Linked DNA regions of Arabidopsis thaliana. The protein of the gene in region 3 purifies or fractionates together with the protein of the main gene of each other region. This does not show direct contact. Each region holds a gene or a part of one and is shown on either strand. Other genes may lie near its edges. The genes, in order: SWI3B, FLN2, MURE and TRX z.

Region 1 (4,947 bases), on a different chromosome or scaffold from region 3:
TATCTCTCCCTCTGTAAATTGTCAACCTTTATTCTCTCGCATTTCTAGTTCATCGAATTTTTGTAGCTCAGCCTGGTCAAAATTGATTCTTTCGTCTACTTTCTAAGGTTTTCTATTCCCAATTCTTTTTGTAGCTCCGATGTTTCTGTCTACAGACAGAAGATTAAGCCTTTTGAGTTTGTCTATTGTTCTGATGAAGAGTTTCGCATGGTTCTTGTTATAGGTAATGAAAAGTATGCTCATTTGAAGAAGCTTGATAAAGCTGGTGACAAACTCAAGCTCTTCAAGGCTGATTTGCTCAACTACGGCTCTCTTCAATCTGCTATTGCTGGCTGCAGCGGCGTCTTCCATGTCGCTTGCCCTGTTCCATCTGCTTCAGTCCCTAATCCTGAGGTGAGGATTTCATTTTTACAATCTCATTGGTGGCTATATGCATTGTCTCACTATGGTTTCACTGGTTTTGCAGGTAGATTTGATCGCACCTGCAGTGGATGGTACGCTGAATGTGCTTAAGGCATGCGTTGAAGCAAAAGTTAAGCGTGTTGTGTATGTTTCCTCTGTATCTGCAGTTGCTATGAACCCTATGTGGTCAAAGAGTCAAGTGTTAGATGAGACCGCTTGGTCTGACCAAGATTATTGCAAAAAAACTGAGGTTAATAATGCATCTTGAATCCCTCATCTCACTTTTTTTTCTTCTTTTAAATCTGACTTTCGTCCCTCTGGCAGAATTGGTATTCTTTGTCAAAGACACGAGCAGAAAGTGAAGCTTTCGAATTTGCAAAACGAACCGGACTTGATCTCGTCAGTGTTTGCCCTACCCTTGTCTTGGGACCTGTATTGCAGCAGCACACAGTAAATGCTAGTAGCCTTGTTCTTCTCAAGCTTCTTAAAGGTATTATAAACAAGCCTCTCATTTCATCTGGGATTGTTAGAAGCAGCAACTTGGTATATGAGTTGGTATTGATTTTATACTTAAGTGTGGTGCAGAGGGTTATGAATCGCGTAATAACCAAGAACGGCATTTGGTAGATGTGCGTGATGTGGCTCAAGCTTTACTTTTGGTTTATGAGAAAGCAGAAGCTGAAGGAAGGTACATCTGCATAGGCCACACGGTTAGGGAACAAGAAGTCGCTGAGAAGCTGAAAAGTCTTTATCTAAATTACAACTACCCAAAGAGGTAAGCAAACAACAGCTGCACATCTCTCTACCCAATTTGAGTGAAAACCTTTAAACCTTAATAAGCTGTTTTTGTTACTTTCATCAGTAAACAGTGTCACTTACCTTTACATCAATGTCTCTGAAGTTTCTTTTAGACCTTACCTTTGATCTAAATTCTACTTATCCAATATCAGATACATCGAAGCGGATGGAAAAGTGAAGGTGAGTTCAGAGAAGTTGCAGAAGTTGGGTTGGACTTACCGGCCGTTGGAGGAAACACTTGTGGATTCTGTTGAGAGCTACCGCAAAGCTAAGCTTGTGGACTGAAAACTGGGAACGAATAGCATATGAGTGTTTTGGGTCCATGTGTTAAGTGTTCCTATCTGCACACGCTCTTTCATCTTTTACTCAAGAATAAGAGTTGTGCAACATATTTTCCATCATGAACTTCTGAGTTTTTGTTACTTTCTTAGACACCATTACTTTTATGACCAATCTACAATTACTCCTTCCATAACTATGTTCCAATATCTCTTTGATACGTTCCAATTTCTACCTACTTACAAAGGATAACTTCACCATTAATACATGAAATCAGTAACGCACAACTTCACCATTCGAATTAACCTCTAAGCCTAGCGTAGCAGATGCACTACATCTTGGCTGACCATGGGACTAAAAAAACATTCGCAATATTTAACAACTAAAGCCAGGTTAATGGACCTGTATTAGGGCCCAAACCAGGCCCGTTTAGATATCCGACTTTTTTTTTAACTTTGCCCATCTCGATAGCTAGATTCTCTTTTCCCTCTTCCTTCTCCGGCGAAGTTGCGTTAGTTAAACAGAGAGTCATGGCCATGAAAGCTCCCGATCCCGGCGGATCTGGGGAAATTCTCCCGAGCACTCCCTCTCTTTCCGAAACTACGTCTGGAGGCGCCGCAGCAGCTTCTAAGTCGGCTCAATTGCCGTCTTCTTCTTCCGATATCGATAATATTCACGTACCTAGCTACTCCAGTAAGTCTGCAACGCCGAGAAAACTTTGATTTATTCTACTTTCTTCACTGTTTCTTACGGATTTTGTACTTGTACCGTCTATTTAACCAATTAGGTTGGTTTTCATGGACCGACATTAACGATTGCGAGGTCCGGTCACTGCCGGAATTTTTCGATTCGAGATCTTCATCCAAAAACCCTAAGTTTTATCTCTACTTGAGGAACTCGATTATTAAGCAGTACAGAGACGACCATCCTCGGAAGATTAGTTTCACTGACGTTCGGAGAACTCTCGTCAGTGATGTTGTCTCTATTCGTCGCGTCTTTGATTTCCTCGATTCATGGGGACTTATCAACTATAATAGCTCCGCCTCTGCTAAGCCGCTCAAGTGGGAAGAAAAAGAGGCCGGAAAATCCGCCGGAGATGCTGCTTCTGAGCCAGCCACAACTGTCAAAGAAACTGCCAAGAGAAACTGCAATGGCTGCAAAGCAATTTGCAGCATAGCTTGTTTCGCCTGTGATAAGGTTTGATTTCATAATTTGTAGCCATAGTAATAATTTCATTCACTGAGTTTGTCACTTAGAATGATTATGTACATTTTTGTTTTCAGTATGACTTGACATTGTGTGCGAGGTGCTATGTTCGTAGTAATTATCGTGTTGGTATTAACTCCTCGGAGTTTAAACGAGTTGAGATTAGTGAGGAGTCAAAGCCAGAGTGGTCTGATAAGGAAATTCTGCTGCTGCTGGAAGCTGTTATGCACTATGGAGATGATTGGAAGAAGGTTGCATCGCATGTTATTGGTAGAACGGAGAAGGATTGTGTTTCTCAGTTTGTCAAGCTTCCGTTTGGGGAACAGTTTGTAAAAGAGTCTGACTCTGAGGATGGTTTAGAGATGTTTGATCAGATCAAGGACTCTGATATTCCTGAATCTGAAGGAATAGATAAAGACGGTTCTTCTCCCAACAAGCGGATCAAATTAACACCTCTTGCAGATGCAAGCAACCCAATAATGGCTCAGGTTAGAAAGACACTACAATTTGAGTAGTTGCGTTCTCTCTCTATGTTAATCTTATTTGTATAAGTCTTCAACATGCGTGGAAATGCTTTTACATTGTTAGGCTACTGAAGAATAGTCCAGTGTCTGCACTAGGCTGTTCCACGACTTGCGTTTTTGTCTCCTTAAAGAACCTAAATCTAGAATACCTTGTGGGGCTTACTTTGAAATCTAGTAATAACAAACCCTAGTTGACATATATAAGGCATTTAAGAATCAAATATGTGTTAGATAATTCTGTACTGTGTTATCACACCTCAATTGTTATGCTTCATTGGCTGTCTCTGAATAAGATTTATCCTATCATGTCCTCTTCAGGCTGCTTTTCTTTCAGCTTTGGCTGGCACAAATGTTGCAGAAGCAGCAGCTCGAGCGGCAGTGAGAGCTTTATCTGATGTAGACTACGAGGCTGACAAAAACGCCAGTAGAGACCCAAATCGACAAGGTATCAAAGACCAAGCTGTCTCTATTTGCAGTCCATTTCTGTCCTAAGCCAAACCCAATAGTGACAGTTTTGTTTTCCTGATACACAGATGCCAATGCTGCATCGAGTGGTGAAACCACTAGAAACGAATCTGAAAGAGCTTGGGCAGATGCAAAGTCTTTAATTGAGAAGGAAGAGCATGAGGTAGAAGGAGCAATCAAAGAGACTGTTGAAGTTGAGGTTAGTAACAATCTGCAACTTTCCATAGACTTTTTATTATATGGTTATACTCAATGATGATTTATGTTGGAACAAACAAAATTTGGGATTAACAGATGAAGAAGATCCGAGATAGGATTGTTCATTTCGAGAAATTGGATTTGGAAATGGAGAGAAGCCGGAAACAATTGGAGGAGGTGAGGAATCTGCTTTTCGTTGATCAATTAAACATTTTCTTCCACACCAGAAAAGCCCGGAAAACTGAAGATAGAATAGAGTGTTAGAACGCACTTAATTTGAAACTGTTATTTCTTATTTGATTCTTGTCTGGTTAAGAAGATGACTTGTATTGTAGTGTACTTGAGATGTGTTGGTAACAAAATGAGATGAGATCGAATTGGTATAAATAAGGCTGGGTTGGTATAAAAGTCAAAACCAAATGGCAACTGCGTCGAAGTATAATTTTTGTCTTTATCAGGCAATCACAAGTGGAAAAGTTTTAAAAATTAATTTTGCTCTTTTGGAAACAATAGAAAATGTCAGGGTTTTGGAGATATCCGATATAAAAGATAGATTTTGTTTTCACTAAATAGGTTAATCTTCAAATGTTGTTAAGTTACCGATGTTTTTTTTGTATCTCCGTAACATGATTACTCTCTTTGTTGCTAAAAGAGTGATGGTTTTTATATTAAGAAACAGTCATTAATTAATCATTTCTGTATTGTTTGTTATATTAAACATTTTCAATAACTATAAACCAATAGCAGTCTAACAAATTTCAATCATTTTATCTTGAACTTTACTAGTTCAGGTTTTTCAGACAAACTAAAAAAACATTGAATTTTCTGTTTTATCTCTAATTAATGTGTTATTTAATATCATATCATCAATTAATCAGCCAAAACAATAAGAATTTCTTTTGGAAAATCTTTCAAAAACATGCATTGAAAATATAAAACGATAACTAATTTAATACAAAATTTAATTTCTAAAACATAACTAATTTAGAAAGGAGTGAGTGATATTTAAAAAAAATAAAGAAAAAACGAAAATGTTTTTTTTGTGGGACAAGTTAAAAGTGGTAGAACATCAATT
Region 2 (4,798 bases), 2.4 Mb from region 3:
CCTGAATGCATTGAGAGTGAATGCCAATATGCAACTATTTTATCATTATCAATATCTTCCGTTCCAAGCAAATCTACCAAAGGTGCTAAAACAAATGGTCTTTCCCAGATTCTCTCATGGGGAATGATAAGTTTATCAGAAATTATCTTGTGCTTTCCATAGAACAATATGTCCAAGTCAAGTGGTCTTGGTCCATACCTTAAACCATTTTCTTCACGACCCATCTCTTTCTCAATTTTCTTGAGAACGTTCAAGAGTTCATGAGGTTTGAGCTTTGTGACACCTCTTATTGCAGCGTTGAGAAATCTTGGTTGGTCGGTCACATGAACAGGTTCTGTTTCGTACAAACAACTGTGTCTGGTTACACTGATCCCATAGTCTTTCATCAATCGTAAAGCTTCTTTGAAATTATTCATTCTGTTTCCAACATTGCTTCCCAAAGCTATCACGACTTCTTCGAAAGTTGTTGTTTCCAAAGATGTGAAATCTGAGTCATATACAAAACATGTTTCGAAGGTGAAATATGATTCAATACTTAACAGAAATTAGTGTATCAAAACGTAAACGCTGTTTTTTTCAACGAAAATGAAACGGATGAAAAAGATACGAACCCATTTTAGAATAGGTTCCTCCAAAATATCAGTATTGTCTGCTTCGATCTGACCTTAAAGTATACAAAACTATGAGTTTAGTCTTAGATAACAACGAAACAATTATTAGAAACACAAAAAATGGGTTCTAATATTTTAAGAACCAAGGAAGTAAACAATACTTATGTATGAGAGAGGCAAGGTGGTAGCCAATTTTCACCTACTTTTTTTCTGAACTTGTTGTGTTATCCAAGTACCTTCTGTCTTTCACGCTCGTCAAAAGTCAGCTTCTCTTTTGAATTAGATATGAAGATCTAGAAAAGAAAAGAAAAAAGAGAAGAAAACTTTGTTTTTAGAGAGATTTTGAAATTGGTAATGAATCTCTCATAATTTTGAAATTGGTAGTGAATCTCTCATAATTCTTTTCATTATCTATTCTATCTTTTACCATTTAAACATATATTTGGATAGATGATGGAAAATTGTGTGTTAGTCTCCAGCTATTTCATTCCATTTTTAAAAAATATCAAAATTTTCATAGATTTGTTCTGACTACATCAATTTTCTTTCATTCCACTCAAGGCACTCATGGTTACATTACCAATAGAAATTAATTAACCATACAAAATTCTAATTATTATAACTCCAGACGATATTATTTTCACTATATAGCAAAAAATAGCCGTTTTACCATAACATATATACAGTCTATATTTTTTGACGAAAAATAAATAAATATACAGTATATATATATATATATATCCTCGTGTTAGAATTGTATTAAGTTTTTCATCACACCATCTTTAGGCATTATTTCTATGCCAATCAAATCATTTACTCGTAAATCATCATAGTAATTATGATTTCAGTTAATCGTAAGTTTTTTGTAGCTTTGTGATGATGAGCCAATTAACTTCACAACAAAATATTTTCCTTGAAGTAGTTTTTTAATAGCAAACGATTTCACGAAAAACTTTACATAACAAATATTTCTACCTACATTAAAAGAATGTCATATAGACAATACTAAATTCACTAGCTTTAAAGAAGAAAAATGAGCCGTAAATAAATTATAGTAGACAGAATAGGGACATCTTGACGTTTTAGTATTTTGATCATAGAATGCTTGCCGTTTCGTTAAAGCGCTAAACCTCCTCCTCATCCTCTCCCAGCTAGCTCCTCTTGCGGTTTCAGAGCTTAAACCCCAATCTCCCTCAAAACTCATAAACATATTGCTCTCCTTTGTTCATTTCTGGGTTTACGCTTCTTTCGACTTTATGGGTTTCGGAGCTTAGTTTTACTACAATTTCGTTTGGAAAAGAGCTCTTATTTGATGTTCATGGCGTCTCTCTCCTTCACCCAATTCTTATCATTCCCCAGGTCCCTTTGCTTCTCTCTCTCTCTTGTTTTCTAACCTTAGGAAATTTTAGTATATGGGTTTCTATGGATTTGGCGTAGAACCAGTTTACTGCCCAAAAATGTGCGAACTTTAAGTTTAGCTCATCTTATCTTTCTACAGAAGAATGGAGTAACAATGATTTGAATTGAGGGCTATATTTGTCTTTCTGTTTGAAAATTTCACATTTTGATGTAATGGTTTTCTCATAGCTGTGCTTTGATTTTGGCAGATGCAATGCAGATGTTCCTTGTCTGCTCCAGTCGCATGGTTTTGTGAAGTTTAGAGGTGAAAGATGGAATGGGAAACAAAGCTTTTCTATGGCTGCTGGTAGGAGAAAGTTATCAGAGTCAGCACCTCTTGAAGAAGAAGGTAATGATGGAAACGGTGCGGTTGTGGGAAAGAAACCATCTAAAAGTGTTAAGAGAACAACGAAGAAGAAGGTTGTGGTTAAGGATGAACCATTAGAAGAAATTTCTGAATTTTTGGTTGATAATGATGATGTTTTAGACAAGGAAAGCATTGTCTCAGCTTTGAAACCAAAAAAGACAAGAACTAGAAAGAAAGGTAATGACTTTTACCATTTCTGAGCTGATGGTTCTCACTTGATGATTCACGAGTACTTAATTTGAATTCGACATATATACAGCTGCAGCAGCTTCTTCTGATGTGGAGGAAGTAAAAACCGAGAAGAAAGTGAGACGAAAGAGGACTGTTAAGAAAGATAAAGATGTGGAGGATGATTTAGCTACTATTATGGATGCTGAGGTTAGTGATGTCGAGGAAGCATTGGCTGTTGAAAGCACTGATACAGAGAGTGAAGAAGAAGAGATTGATCTGAGTAAACATGAAGGTGAAGATATTAGTCACACTTATGGATGGCCTCCTCTCGTGTGTTGCTTTGGATCTGCACAACATGCTTTTGTGCCTTCGGGAAGGCCAGCAAACAGGCTATTAGATTATGAACTACACGAACGGATGAGAGATGCAAAGTGGGCTCCAGAGAAGTATATCCGGGCTCCTGGAGGATGTGCAGGAGGTGTTGCTATTGCTCTTGCAAGCTTGGGTGGTAAGGTTGCTTTTATGGGCAAACTTGGGGCTGATGACTATGGTCAAGCCATGTTGTATTATCTGAATGTGTGCAAAGTCCAAACTAGATCAGTTAAGATTGATGGTAAAAGGGTTACGGCGTGTTCTACTATGAAGATCAGCAAGAGAGGTCGCTTGAAATCGACTTGTATTAAGCCATGTGCAGAGGATTCACTTTCAAAATCTGAAATCAACGTTGATGTGCTCAAAGAGGTAATATATTGTCCTGGAGATTTGGAACATTGAGTTTTTGGCTCTTTTTCTTGTTCACCAATCTCTTAACTTTGGTGCAGGCGAAAATGTTCTACTTCAGCACGCATTCTCTACTCGATAAGAAGATGATGTCAACTACGATACAAGCCATCAAGATATCAAAGCAACTAGGCAATGTCATTTTTTATGACTTGAATCTCCCTTTACCACTATGGCACTCCAGCGAAGAAACCAAGTCTTTCATACAGGAAGTGTGGAATCTTGCAGACGTCATTGAAATCACAAAACAGGAACTTGAATTCTTATGCGGAATCGAGCCTACTGAAGAGTTCGATACAGAAAACAATGACATCAGTAAGTTTGTCCATTACCCGCCAGAAACTGTGGAACAGCTTTGGCATGAAAATCTCAAGGTCTTGTTTGTGACCAATGGCACTTCTAAGATCCATTACTATACCAAAGAGCACAATGGTGCTGTTTCCGGAATGGAGGATGTTCCCATTACTCCTTTTACAAGGGATATGTCAGCATCTGGAGATGGCATCGTTGCAGGTACATTTTCACTTGTGTCATTTGTTTTTCATAGCAATTTGGAAGTTATGCTTGCGATTAACTGAACCACACTACTCTCTATTTCAGGTCTAATAAGAATGCTTACGGTTCAGCCAGATCTTATGAACAATAAAGGGTACCTGGAACGCACAGCGAGATATGCAATTGAGTGTGGTATTATTGATCAATGGTTGCTGGCACAAACCCGAGGATATCCTCCAAAGGATGACATGGAAGAAGAAGAAGATGATGAAGAAGAAGATGAAGTGGAATCAGATCCAAACGGTATAAGATCGATAACAGAGAAGGAATACAGAACCTCAAAGCCTTATGATGAACCAGATGGTCCATACGTTATGAAACCAGTAGAGGAAAGGGAGTACAAGAAGTTAGAGCTTGTTGGCTCAATGTTTGAAGATGGTAGTTTATGATTTTCATAAGATTTGATAATGTTTCTGTTAGTCAGCTTTTTTTTCCTGTTCACATCTTACAACATCTTAGTAGTGTGAATTTTTGTCATATGTTTTGATATCTCACTCACCATCTCAACTAATACAAAATCACTTGAAATTATCCGGAAACAGCAATGTGAAACTGCAGTGACGATGAACTTACTTTAATAGCAACTCTACTTCTACGTCTACTTAACTAATCCAAGTAGAGATTTATCTTCTTGTGATCTGCGAAAGGCAGTGTGATTCTCAAGTCCTTTTGTTTCCGGCTTAACGGTCTGCCTTTGCTTTCGGGATCTCTGTTCTCCCTTACATCTGCTAATTTCCAGACACAGTTATCTGATTCTGCATCTATAGACTCCAAGAGGAACACTCCACTCTTTACTGCTTTCCTCGAGTTTGTTTCTTCTACATAGCTTACTGTCATTGGCATATCCTTGAATCGGGGCAAGTCCTCTGGGACTCTCAGTAGCCTCTCCGCTCCTGGAGATGACACCTACACAGAA
Region 3 (5,855 bases):
TCAAACTAAGTGGTTCACTAAGGTTCTATTTACATTTCCAAAGATAGTATATGTGATTGTCCAAAAATTGTCAAGGGACACTGATAAGCGTCCAAAAGATCCAAAATAAGAGTAAAAAAAAAGAGCTTATAAGATGATATATTTCATAGTGAGAACGATAAAGCGTAGTTGTATTTGTTAAAATATCCAGTGTGAAGTGTTACATTATAAATGATGAATGTCTATCAAGTTTTCCATACATTTTTTTTCATAAGATCAAGAGAAAATAAAGAGAATTATATCTTCTTCTTTTTTAAAGAAAACACAATTAAGAGATAAATAATTAAATCATGTACATTATAGCATGTGTAGGTCACGTGTTATGAAAATGGGCTGAAGAAAGTGTAGAAGTGAGGCCCAAGACGAAGGGACCACAAAGGGTGTATTAAACCAACTCAACTGTACATGGCGGTGGTCGGTCCACGTTCCAAATTAAAGTGGCCATGTGGTTTTATCGTCTTCTATCAACGACCAAAATACGGCTCTCCAAATAAGAGAAAAACAAATACAAAACTACGTTATACTACTAACTGACTTTAGTGCAAAAAAACTTAATATAACTTAGGCTCTTAATGATCATGTACATGGCGGGACAGATTTGTATGCATAGCAGATAATATAATATCAAAAATCATGAAATTTTGGATGCAATTCCATCTCTTTTACACCCATTTCTCTACTAGGGCGTTAGAAAGTCTAACATTAGAAGTTGGACTTTAGTTACTCAATGCCAATTAGAATCTAAACTTCGGCCAACTATAGATAAAACCATTAGCTTTTTACAAAATCAAGAAATAAAATCAACCTCTTATGTCAGAAAACCAAGAGCCATCAATCTTTTTCTTCTATAAACAATTCAAATAAAACGTTTGTTTGGTTCTCTGCAACAACATAGCAAATTAGCAATCATTAAGCAATTTTGTCTACTCATCAAACAAAAATATTTCTCTGTAACGAAAAAAAGATAGTGGGCTAATATTATGGGCCATGAGACTGCCTTAGAAGCCCATCCTTTCACTACACACTTTGTAATATACATTAGAAACCCTATAAATTAATACTCGATAAATTAATAAACACGATAAATTAATAAATTTTGCCGGTCGAAGTCGGGCCAATGTAAAAATTAACGAAAATCGATAAGATAATAAAATAATAATTTTTTGAAACCCCTATGTAAAAATATAGTCCCAATAATATCATAAATTAATAATCATAAATCTTAAGCATACATTCTAAGACTAATTTTATATGAAACTTTTATTCAAGCTACAATTGCAACTCTTTTTAGAATAGAGTTGGTATGATCTCTTTTATACTCACATAATTCTTTGCGTATTTGATCCGTCATATTTGGTTTTGTAACATTTTTTCTATGAAAAACCATTGCTAAGATTTTTGTAAAGAAAAATTGATTTAACCTCCACGTTAACGTCGTAGATATAGAGACACTATATCTTGCAGAAAAATAAATTTAAAATATCAAAAATAAAATTAAAGATCTAACATAATTGAATATACAAATAACAAAATATGAGAAAAATACTAAATCGGAAAAGCATTTTTAAAATAATTTAGTATTGTGTTTTACGTTAATATTCTATTAATTACTATTTATTAATTTATAAAATAAATTAATATTATTATAAATTAATAAAAATTTATAGTCCAATCATTATTAATTTATAGAGTTTCTCCTGTACATATCTTTTAATCGTTTTTAGTACACACTGCACCGTTTTATCGGCGTCTTTGATTTCTTTAAACGCATCGTTTGTAACCCAAAAATGAAAAAACCCAACTCTTATCCCCTGGAAAAAACCTTTCACTGCTTGCTTTCTCAGTCTCTCTGTCTCCAATGGCGTTCACCTTTCTCTCTCCTCACCCAGTCTTTCTCTCTCTAACTGGAACAACCTCTTCCTTCTCCTACAAACCAGTTCTCTTACCATTCTCTCGAAATTCCCGTACTCTCACGGTTGCGGCGGGACCTGCTCGCCGGAATTCGTACCCGAACCCTGCTGATGACGATCCACCTGAAGCACCGGAGGATTCAATGCACGGAGTTTCGAAGTTTCAGCAGATCCAGCGTCAAGCTGCTCGTGCACGGAAGCTAGAGGAAGAAGATTTCGAGAAGAATCGGAACACTTATCTCTCCGCTATCGCCGATGTGGAAGACGCGGCGGAGACGGGACGAGATGACGAAGAATCTGGTGGAGACTTGTTCTCTGATATCGATAGAGCAATCTCCATGAAACGTAGTGAGTTTGTTAAGCAAGGATTGCTCAAACCTAATCCTCCCAAAACGGCATCGCTTAAGAAGATTGGGGAGGAGGGAAATGAGGAAGAAGGTGATGTTACTGACGATGTTGATGAGCTTGATGAAGAAGAAGTTGTTGATTTGGATGAAATTGATAAATTAACTGGATTAACAGAGATTTCTGATGAAGAAGATTGGGTTGATGAGGAAGGTAACACTAGGATCAACAAGAAGAAGGAGTTTGGGTCTGATCATCAATTTGAATTCGATTTGGATGATTTTGGTGAATCTAAAGCGAGAATCGTGGAACCTAAGTTCAAAATGTGCTTAGCTGAGCTTTTAGATGAGAGTAAAGTGGTACCAATCTCAGTTTACGGCGATTTAGATGTCGAAATCACCGGGATTCAACATGATTCGCGCGGTGTGAGCGCCGGAGATCTCTTCGTGTGTTGTTTAGGAAGTGAAAATTTCTTGAGTGAAGCAGATAAGAGAGGAGCAGTGGCGGTTGTAGCTAGCAAAGAGATTGATATTGAAGATACTTTAGGTTGCAGAGCACTTGTCATTGTTGAAGATACGAATGCAGTTTTAGCAGCTTTAGCTTCTTCCTTTTATAGGCATCCCTCGAAGAACATGTCGGTGATTGGAGTTACTGGTACGGATGGGAAAACGACTACTACGTATTTGATTAAGAGCCTCTATGAAGCGATGGGTGTGAGAACAGGAATGTTTAGCACAGTTTCTTGTTATATTCATGGCGATAACAAATTGGATACGCCTAATGCTACGATGAATCCTGATGCTGTTTTGGTTCAGAGTTTGATGGCTAAGATGTTGCATAATGGAACTGAATCTTTGGTTATGGAAGCTTCTCCTCAAGAACTTGCTTTAGGGAAATGTGATGAAGTGGATTTCGACATTGCGGTTTTCACAAATTTGACTAGAGAAAATACGGATTTTCGTGGTACTGATGAAGAGTATAGAGATGCTGAAGCCAAGTTGTTTTCAAGAATGGTTGATCCGGAAAGGCATAGGAAAGTGGTTAACATAGATGATCCAAACGCAGCATTCTTTGTCCAGCAAGGGAATCCTAATGTTCCTGTTGTGACATTTGCCATGGAAAACACCAAAGCCGATGTTCACCCGTTAAAGTTTGAGCTTTCCTTGTTTGAGACACAGGTTTTGGTTAATACCCCTCAAGGTATACTGGAGATCTCTTCGGGTTTGTTAGGACGGCATAACATTTATAATATTCTTGCTGCTGTGGCTGTTGGGATTGCTGTTGGAGCTCCTCTTGAGGATATTGTTAGAGGTGTTGAGGAAGTCGATGCAGTCCCAGGAAGGTGTGAGTTGATTGATGAGGAACAAGCTTTTGGTGTTATTGTGGATCATGCAAACACACCTGATGGCTTGTCAAGGCTGCTAGATTCAATTCGAGAGCTTAAACCGAGAAGAATCATTACCGGTATAGATATTTTCTTCCATCTAATAGATACTCTTTGCCTGTTCGGCCGTTCCTATGGTCTTTATATGTGTGGTCATCTGATTATTTTAGTTGTTTTATTTATTTATTGAAGTTATTGGTTGTGAGGGTGAGAATGAAAGAGGGAAAAGACCGCTTATGACGAAAATTGCTACTGAAAAGAGCGATGTGACGATGTTGACATCTGATAATCCGAGGAATGAAGATCCATGTAAGTAACTCTAAGAATTAGATTGAGTCTATCTCCCTTGAGTGTTTCTGGAGGTATATTAACAGTTAATTTTCCAATGTGGTTTTAGTGGACATCTTGGATGACATGTTGTCTGGGATTGGATGGACGATGCAAGAGTATTTGAAACATGGCGAACACGATTACTATCCGCCTTTGGCAAATGGTCATAGACTCTTCCTTCACGATATTAGACGTGTAGCTGTACGTTGTGCTGTTGCTATGGGTGAAGAAGGTGATATGGTTGTAAGTATTCAAATAAACCCACACTCTATACAGTACTTTACTGAGTGTGTTATCAAAGTTGCTGGATTTACCTTTATGAGCAATCAAAGTAATATAGTTCTCGGGTAAATAGCTTTGCTTGACACTGATTTTTGCAGGTTGTAGCTGGGAAAGGGCATGAAGCGTATCAGCTTGAAGGTGAAAAGAAAGAGTTTTATGATGACAGAGAGGAATGTCGGGAAGCATTACAATACGTTGATGAGCTTCACCAAGCTGGAATAGACACAAGCGAGTTCCCATGGCGGTAAGTAGAACCGTAACAGCTAAAACAACCAACGATAACCAAAGTTTCTAATCTGTGAAGAGTTGCTGAAACTTGTCAAGATGCTTCACGATCACTAATCTGTTCTTCCTTGTATTACTGTGCTTCTGCAGGTTACCAGAGAGTCATTAATATCTCTGTGGTGAAATCATTAGAAGAGAAGTTAGCTTAGTCCATGAAACCAGATTTTCTTCCACCATGGTCCAATTCTCTTGCGAAGATCGATTTGCACAGAGGTAATGAATTCTACACAAGTGACATAAAAATCATGCCCAAGGAAAAGAGATTACACCACTGGGAGGTACTTAACGTTCCAATCACCATTACCTTAAAGTTATTCCATTGCTCACTTCACCTGTTTTTTTGGACAAGAGGAAACCTAAGCTATCGAAATGTAATATTAGACTAAACTTAATTCAGATTTTCTGTCATTGTTACCGCAGGAGGAAGATTTTAAAGGTGGAAGAAGATGCGTACAAATTTTGTAAGGGTTAAAAACCCAAAAATGTAAGTGGTTCTGTTTTGGGTATGTTTTGATAGCATGTGTTTAATTTAGATGAACCAATTCAAACCGAACCAACAAAAATAGATTCCGGTTTAAATTATTTATTTTCTTACATGTATCCAAACTTGAAAAAAGTGAATTCAAAGAAAAAAGAAAACGATGAAAATACGGTTTCAATTTCTTAATATGAAAAATTGAGAAAGTAGGAAGACATGATTGAACAATAATAAGATTAGGCCTTGTGATATATTGTGACAAGAACATAAATTACGAATGTTTGGCAATGGTGCTAGGGAATATAGTCTTTTGAAACTATTAAGCATACTTTGAATTTTATATTCTGGTTATAAATTAAAAGATTTCCCAATATCCATTCGTATTTTTGGGACCACTCCACCAAAACCAATCTAATCAAAATATAAAACCAAATAAATAATAATTTGCTTAGAGATAGAAAACATGTTATGTCCGAGGAAATTGTCCTAAATGTCGCAACAAACGTCAATTCATTAATCGTTTTGTTTAATACAAATTTCGACAAGATTGTGATAGATCCAGAACCAGTTTAGCTAAACCGGTTGAATCAGAAGAAACGCCAAAACCCGGTCCAATAGCTCGACCTAACGCCGTCGTTTTCAAAGTTCCTTCACTCTACTTCCTTCTCGCTTACGTCACTTTCCACAGATCCAACAATGATATCAGATAAAATTAAAATATTCCCAATATATTTTCTAAGAATATCTCCCTATTTATTTTTATTTATTTAAACTATTTTAATCTCTTCCGTGTTTCACTCTT
Region 4 (4,349 bases), on a different chromosome or scaffold from region 3:
CTTTCTCGGTGGGATCTAGCATTACCAGCTTCAGGAACCGCAGATCGTGATTCGTGAACTAGTGTCAAGTCAAGAAGATATGGATCTAGGGTTTCCGATAGAGATCAGAGTAGGCAAGAAACATATAAGACTTGATGAGAATTCAAAGACGAGTGGATCAGGGGAACAAAAATTTGAATCTTGAAAGTAGAAACAGAGAGAGAGAGTGTCAGAGAAACAGAGATTTTTTTTTTTTGATTTCAAAGAAACGACCCAACAGATACCTCACAAAAACTAAACCAAATGGCCAATTATAAATGAAATTGGTTCGGCTAAACCCTAGCTTTAATTTATTGCTTTAAAAGACGAAATTACCCCTGTTTACGTCCTCTAATATCAGGCTAGAGCCACCCGCCAAATATCGCACATAACCCTGTAGGAAAATTTTCGCATAATTTGGGCGCCATTTCGAATGGCGTCGTGTTTTTCCTAATAATGGTGTTTAATAATACTTTCGTCCCGGTTTAATGTCAACCAAGAAATGGGGAAAAAGTCTTTAATGACGTCATATCTCTCTCTTCCAAGTTTAAGCTACAGTGTTATTACATGGACCGGATCGTGAATTTGATGTGCCACATAACTTGGATCCGACCAGATCAACAGCTCTAACCTTTTCACTTAGGTATTGAAACGAACACTGCATACAAACAAATGTCTTAAGACTACATTCTTCATCTATGAAACTAGAAGACATTCTTACCACATCTCAAATGCAAACAACACGGTACCAATCCTAAATTACGGCGATTCTAATCAAATCATAAAGAGTACAAAAGTGTTTTCTCAGTAAAAACTTCACATCTCGTTGTCAATGATATCGTGCATCATCTGTAACGGAATTAGCCCTTCTGTCCTGATTGCATCTTTGCTTGGGTCAGGACTGATGAAGAATAATGTAGGTAACCCTCGAACCTGTATCACAAGAGTTGGTTAATGTAAGAATTTACATTGATATGCTGAGAGGAGATTCATGAAATTTAAAAACATAAGCTGCAAGTTACAGTATACCTGCATGTCGCGTGCAAACTCGTACTCATCATCTGTATCAACTTTCACGATTATTGCATTGCTCTCATACTCTACTGCAAGCTGTTTCACAATGAGCAAAAACTATTTAACACGAGTGTCATGAGTGAAAAAGCAAGTAGATAAAGCCAATCAATAAGAAGATGCTTAGATTCTCCTATCTCACACATTTCTTTTGAATTTGTAGACATGCCAACTACGCGACAAGGTATCTTTGTCATAAAGTATGGGAGAAACAGTCGTAAGATTGGAACTGTTTAACTCCTTTATCTAATTCACCAAAAGAACTAAACCATAGAAGAGACTTGATTAATGAGAGCGGTCTTTCAACTCTAGTCAATTGCCAAACCAAGACCCAAGACAAATCCAGAGTGCCCCCAATACATTTTCATAGCCCCTCTTTAAACATTAAGATCTCAGTAAACTGTAAAGATTTGTTGATGAGCTACCAAAGCTATAATGCACTGCCCAACTCCTATGCAAGTTACAATAGTACTGCACTAGACTTAACAGTAATATACCATCACATTTCAAGATTCAAGTATATTATAACGAACAACCGGGTTCCAAGAGCCAACGTTTGGAAATATATAAGCATTCTAGAGTCTACACATGAAGCAAGTGAAATGGAGAATGTGTAAGAAAGTTGAGTTATGAGAATCCATGGTACCATTTCTAGTTCCTGGGCCATCAAGATACAAGGTCCACACCATGTCGCATAAAAATCAACAATCAACGGCACCTTCCTATCTCCTTTCACCAGTTCCTGAAGTTCTTGAGCTGACAATTTCTTCTGTCAAACCATAAGAAAAGGAACAAAAAACATCCAGAAATCAGTGAGGCTTCCACATGATGGTATCAACAAGAGTCATTCATAAGATTCAAATTAAGCAAATCTCTATTCTGAAGTATTTAACAGTGTACTGGTCGAATCTTTGATAGAACTACCATATATCGTTCTTATATAATAACTACATCTATGCCCAGCCAACTTAATTTCCCAGAAAGGCGAAAAAGGAAGTCGTAAAACGAAAACAAACATGAAATTTTTTGAAATCGACAAAATATGTTGTTTGGAGCGTGAGAGAAAGCGAGAAATTGTCCGTACCACAAGATAATCTTCTCTGACAAACTTGCCGCGAGGCGGAGGACAGAGAAGCTTTCGCGGACGCGTCAACGGCGAGAAGGGCAAGTTTCCGGCGGTGGAGGAGGAGAACGGCGCGGCTACCGGTCGGATTTCCCTCCGGATAAAGAGAGAAGACGGAGCATGGAGGGAGGATAGAATCGGCGATAACGGAGTGTTGAGGTGTGGAAAAGTTCTGGATTGAACAAGAGCCATTTTGGAAATCGATTTCTGCTTCAAAATGATTTCAGTTTTAGCTTTTGAGGGGTTTTAGACGATAAGGCAATTGAACTGGACATATACTAATAGTTCATTAGTTCTTGTCTTTTTACAATTTACTTGCTCAGGTAAAGTCAAATTCATAATAATTTATTGCTGTTTTATGTATACTTTACTTCATAATTCAAATAAAGATTCGAGTCTTTATAACTCGAAGATAAACCCTTCCTTAGGTTTGACCAAAAAAAAAAAAACCTTTCCTTAGGAAATCAGACACCAAACATATTAAGACCAATAAAGGGTTTATGGTTTCAATTTTTTAACCGACATACAAACTGTTGTCAACACAAAAACAAAAGACTCCACTGTAAGTTTTTATAACCCTCCAAAATTTAAAAACAACACAAAGGTCGACTCACGACCGGTGTACCAGTCATTTCAAAAAAATAGCCCTGGACAATGAACCAAACACTTTCTCAGACGCTGTACTTTTAAACCGACCACCCGGTACAAACCTCTGAGACCAGACCAGACCAGACCTGGAGTATAACCATGGCAGTGAAACTAGACTCTGACTGACTCTGACCTTTCACCATTCTCAAGTTGCAAGCTTCCAATTCCATTCCTGTGGGTTTATATTGATCTAAATATCAGATTTTGCATGTTTTCATCAAGAGACGTTGTTAGAAATTTAAGAATTTTTACTTTTATTTACCTTCAGCTGAAGTTGAATCCTCCGGATGGTACTGGAGCTTGATTCCCTCCAAACTGGAACCCAGCCTGAGAACCATCAACACCTGGAGGTTGCTGTGTCTCATCATCTTCCTCTTCAAGCCAGTATGTCTCCAGAATTTTAACAGCCTTCTCATAGATCTCATTGTTGTCATGGCTCTGAAGGTTCTCGATCTTTTCTAGCCCTTCTGCATCATCAATCAGCTGAGCGTAATAGTTCATGTCTCCTGTGTGACCCAAGTTCTTCTCTGCCTCTCCCACCTTCAAAATGTTTTCCAATCCTTCAAGGCAGACAGTTATGATTCTTGGATCTGGGCAAACCAGGAGATCGCATAATGGTTTTATGCACCCTTGCTCCACCAGGTATCTGTATAACCAACGGGAACAGAACATCAATATATATATACACAAAGTATATATATGAGAGAAGAAACTGGAAGTTAGAGGAACGCAAAAAAGACAGTGACATACTTTATTTGATCATGAGAACCACCTGAAGTTGCATTTGAAATTGCCCATGCAGCTTCCTTCTTAATGTCAAATTCAGCATTTTGAAGCAGACTCACCAACGGGGAAATCAAATTAGCCTCAACTACCGTCTGCAACCATCAGGGGAAAAACAACACAATTAATGAATAGGTATAGAAGTCTGGATGGGAAACGGTACAAAACATATGATGAAACAGTACTAATTGCCTACCTGGATCTGATCTTTGTTGCCTGCTGTGATGTTTGAAATCGTCCAGCAAGCTTCCTTCTTTATGCTTTTCTTATGGTTTTGAGTGAGCAGGTTGGCAAGACAAGGTAGAGCACCACTATTGATCACGCACTGGAGAAGAAGTAAAATCAGATTTCCAAGTAAAACGATGTAAACTATTTCAGATATAGAAAAATCACCTTTGCTAAACTCATGAAAAACCAAATTTCACCAAGCAAAAAATTTGTGCATGTTGTTGGTTTAAACTTTAAAACAAGAATTAATTGTAACAAAACTCAAACACAAGCAATATATAGCAAAAAAGGCACTGCATCCTATCTGCTAATATGGACAGAGTGGCAACAGAGGGAGAATCTCATGATAAGCATTCAATACTCCCATTTTTCACATAAAATGTTGGATATGAATAATAGCAACAGGGTGCCATACATTTGAACAACACCTCATCGCAATTACCAGTCTTGGATTAGATGATATGCATGGTATATCACT

What was found.
Region 1: the proteins of MURE (region 3) and SWI3B fractionate together in Arabidopsis thaliana (co-fractionation; one large-scale study listed by BioGRID). This does not show direct contact.
Region 2: the proteins of MURE (region 3) and FLN2 fractionate together in Arabidopsis thaliana (co-fractionation; one large-scale study listed by BioGRID). This does not show direct contact.
Region 4: the proteins of MURE (region 3) and TRX z fractionate together in Arabidopsis thaliana (co-fractionation; one large-scale study listed by BioGRID). This does not show direct contact.

What each region holds. Positions count from the first base shown.
Region 1 is NC_003071.7:14,227,014-14,231,960, forward strand, and holds SWI3B (switch subunit 3), read left to right. Parts: upstream 1-1,958; 5' UTR 1,959-2,009; coding exon 2,010-2,172; intron 2,173-2,266; coding exon 2,267-2,676; intron 2,677-2,762; coding exon 2,763-3,173; intron 3,174-3,527; coding exon 3,528-3,654; intron 3,655-3,742; coding exon 3,743-3,873; intron 3,874-3,968; coding exon 3,969-4,136; 3' UTR 4,137-4,395; downstream 4,396-4,947. Other genes in the region: CRL2 (NAD(P)-binding Rossmann-fold superfamily protein), read left to right, coding at 224-393, 467-652, 727-892, 988-1,177, 1,353-1,485. UniProt on the Arabidopsis thaliana protein: Component of a multiprotein complex equivalent of the SWI/SNF complex, an ATP-dependent chromatin-remodeling complex, which is required for the positive and negative regulation of gene expression of a large number of genes.
Region 2 is NC_003070.9:26,014,095-26,018,892, forward strand, and holds FLN2 (fructokinase-like protein), read left to right. Parts: upstream 1-1,929; coding exon 1,930-1,970; intron 1,971-2,218; coding exon 2,219-2,553; intron 2,554-2,635; coding exon 2,636-3,288; intron 3,289-3,368; coding exon 3,369-3,840; intron 3,841-3,927; coding exon 3,928-4,271; downstream 4,272-4,798. Other genes in the region: AT1G69190 (Dihydropterin pyrophosphokinase / Dihydropteroate synthase), read right to left, coding at 1-487, 612-615; AT1G69210 (Uncharacterized protein family UPF0090), read right to left, coding at 4,489-4,788. UniProt on the Arabidopsis thaliana protein: Required for proper chloroplast development, most likely through regulating plastid-encoded polymerase (PEP) dependent chloroplast transcription.
Region 3 is NC_003070.9:23,612,564-23,618,418, forward strand, and holds MURE (ALBINO OR PALE-GREEN 13), read left to right. Parts: upstream 1-1,776; 5' UTR 1,777-1,897; coding exon 1,898-3,758; intron 3,759-3,870; coding exon 3,871-3,987; intron 3,988-4,075; coding exon 4,076-4,251; intron 4,252-4,388; coding exon 4,389-4,534; intron 4,535-4,665; coding exon 4,666-4,684; 3' UTR 4,685-4,853; exon of another isoform or gene 4,854-4,995; 3' UTR 4,996-5,349; downstream 5,350-5,855. UniProt on the Arabidopsis thaliana protein: Involved in chloroplast biogenesis. Required for thylakoid membrane development. Seems to be required for plastid-encoded plastid RNA polymerase (PEP)-dependent gene expression.
Region 4 is NC_003074.8:2,122,331-2,126,679, reverse strand, and holds TRX z (Thioredoxin z), read right to left. Parts: upstream 2,526-4,349; 5' UTR 2,405-2,525; coding exon 2,174-2,404; intron 1,859-2,173; coding exon 1,736-1,858; intron 1,129-1,735; coding exon 1,048-1,128; intron 952-1,047; coding exon 835-951; 3' UTR 524-834; downstream 1-523. Other genes in the region: GATA15 (GATA transcription factor 15), read right to left, coding at 2-22; IMPA-1 (importin alpha), read right to left, coding at 3,125-3,506, 3,611-3,738, 3,840-3,968. UniProt on the Arabidopsis thaliana protein: Thiol-disulfide oxidoreductase that plays a role in proper chloroplast development, most likely through regulating plastid-encoded polymerase (PEP) dependent chloroplast transcription.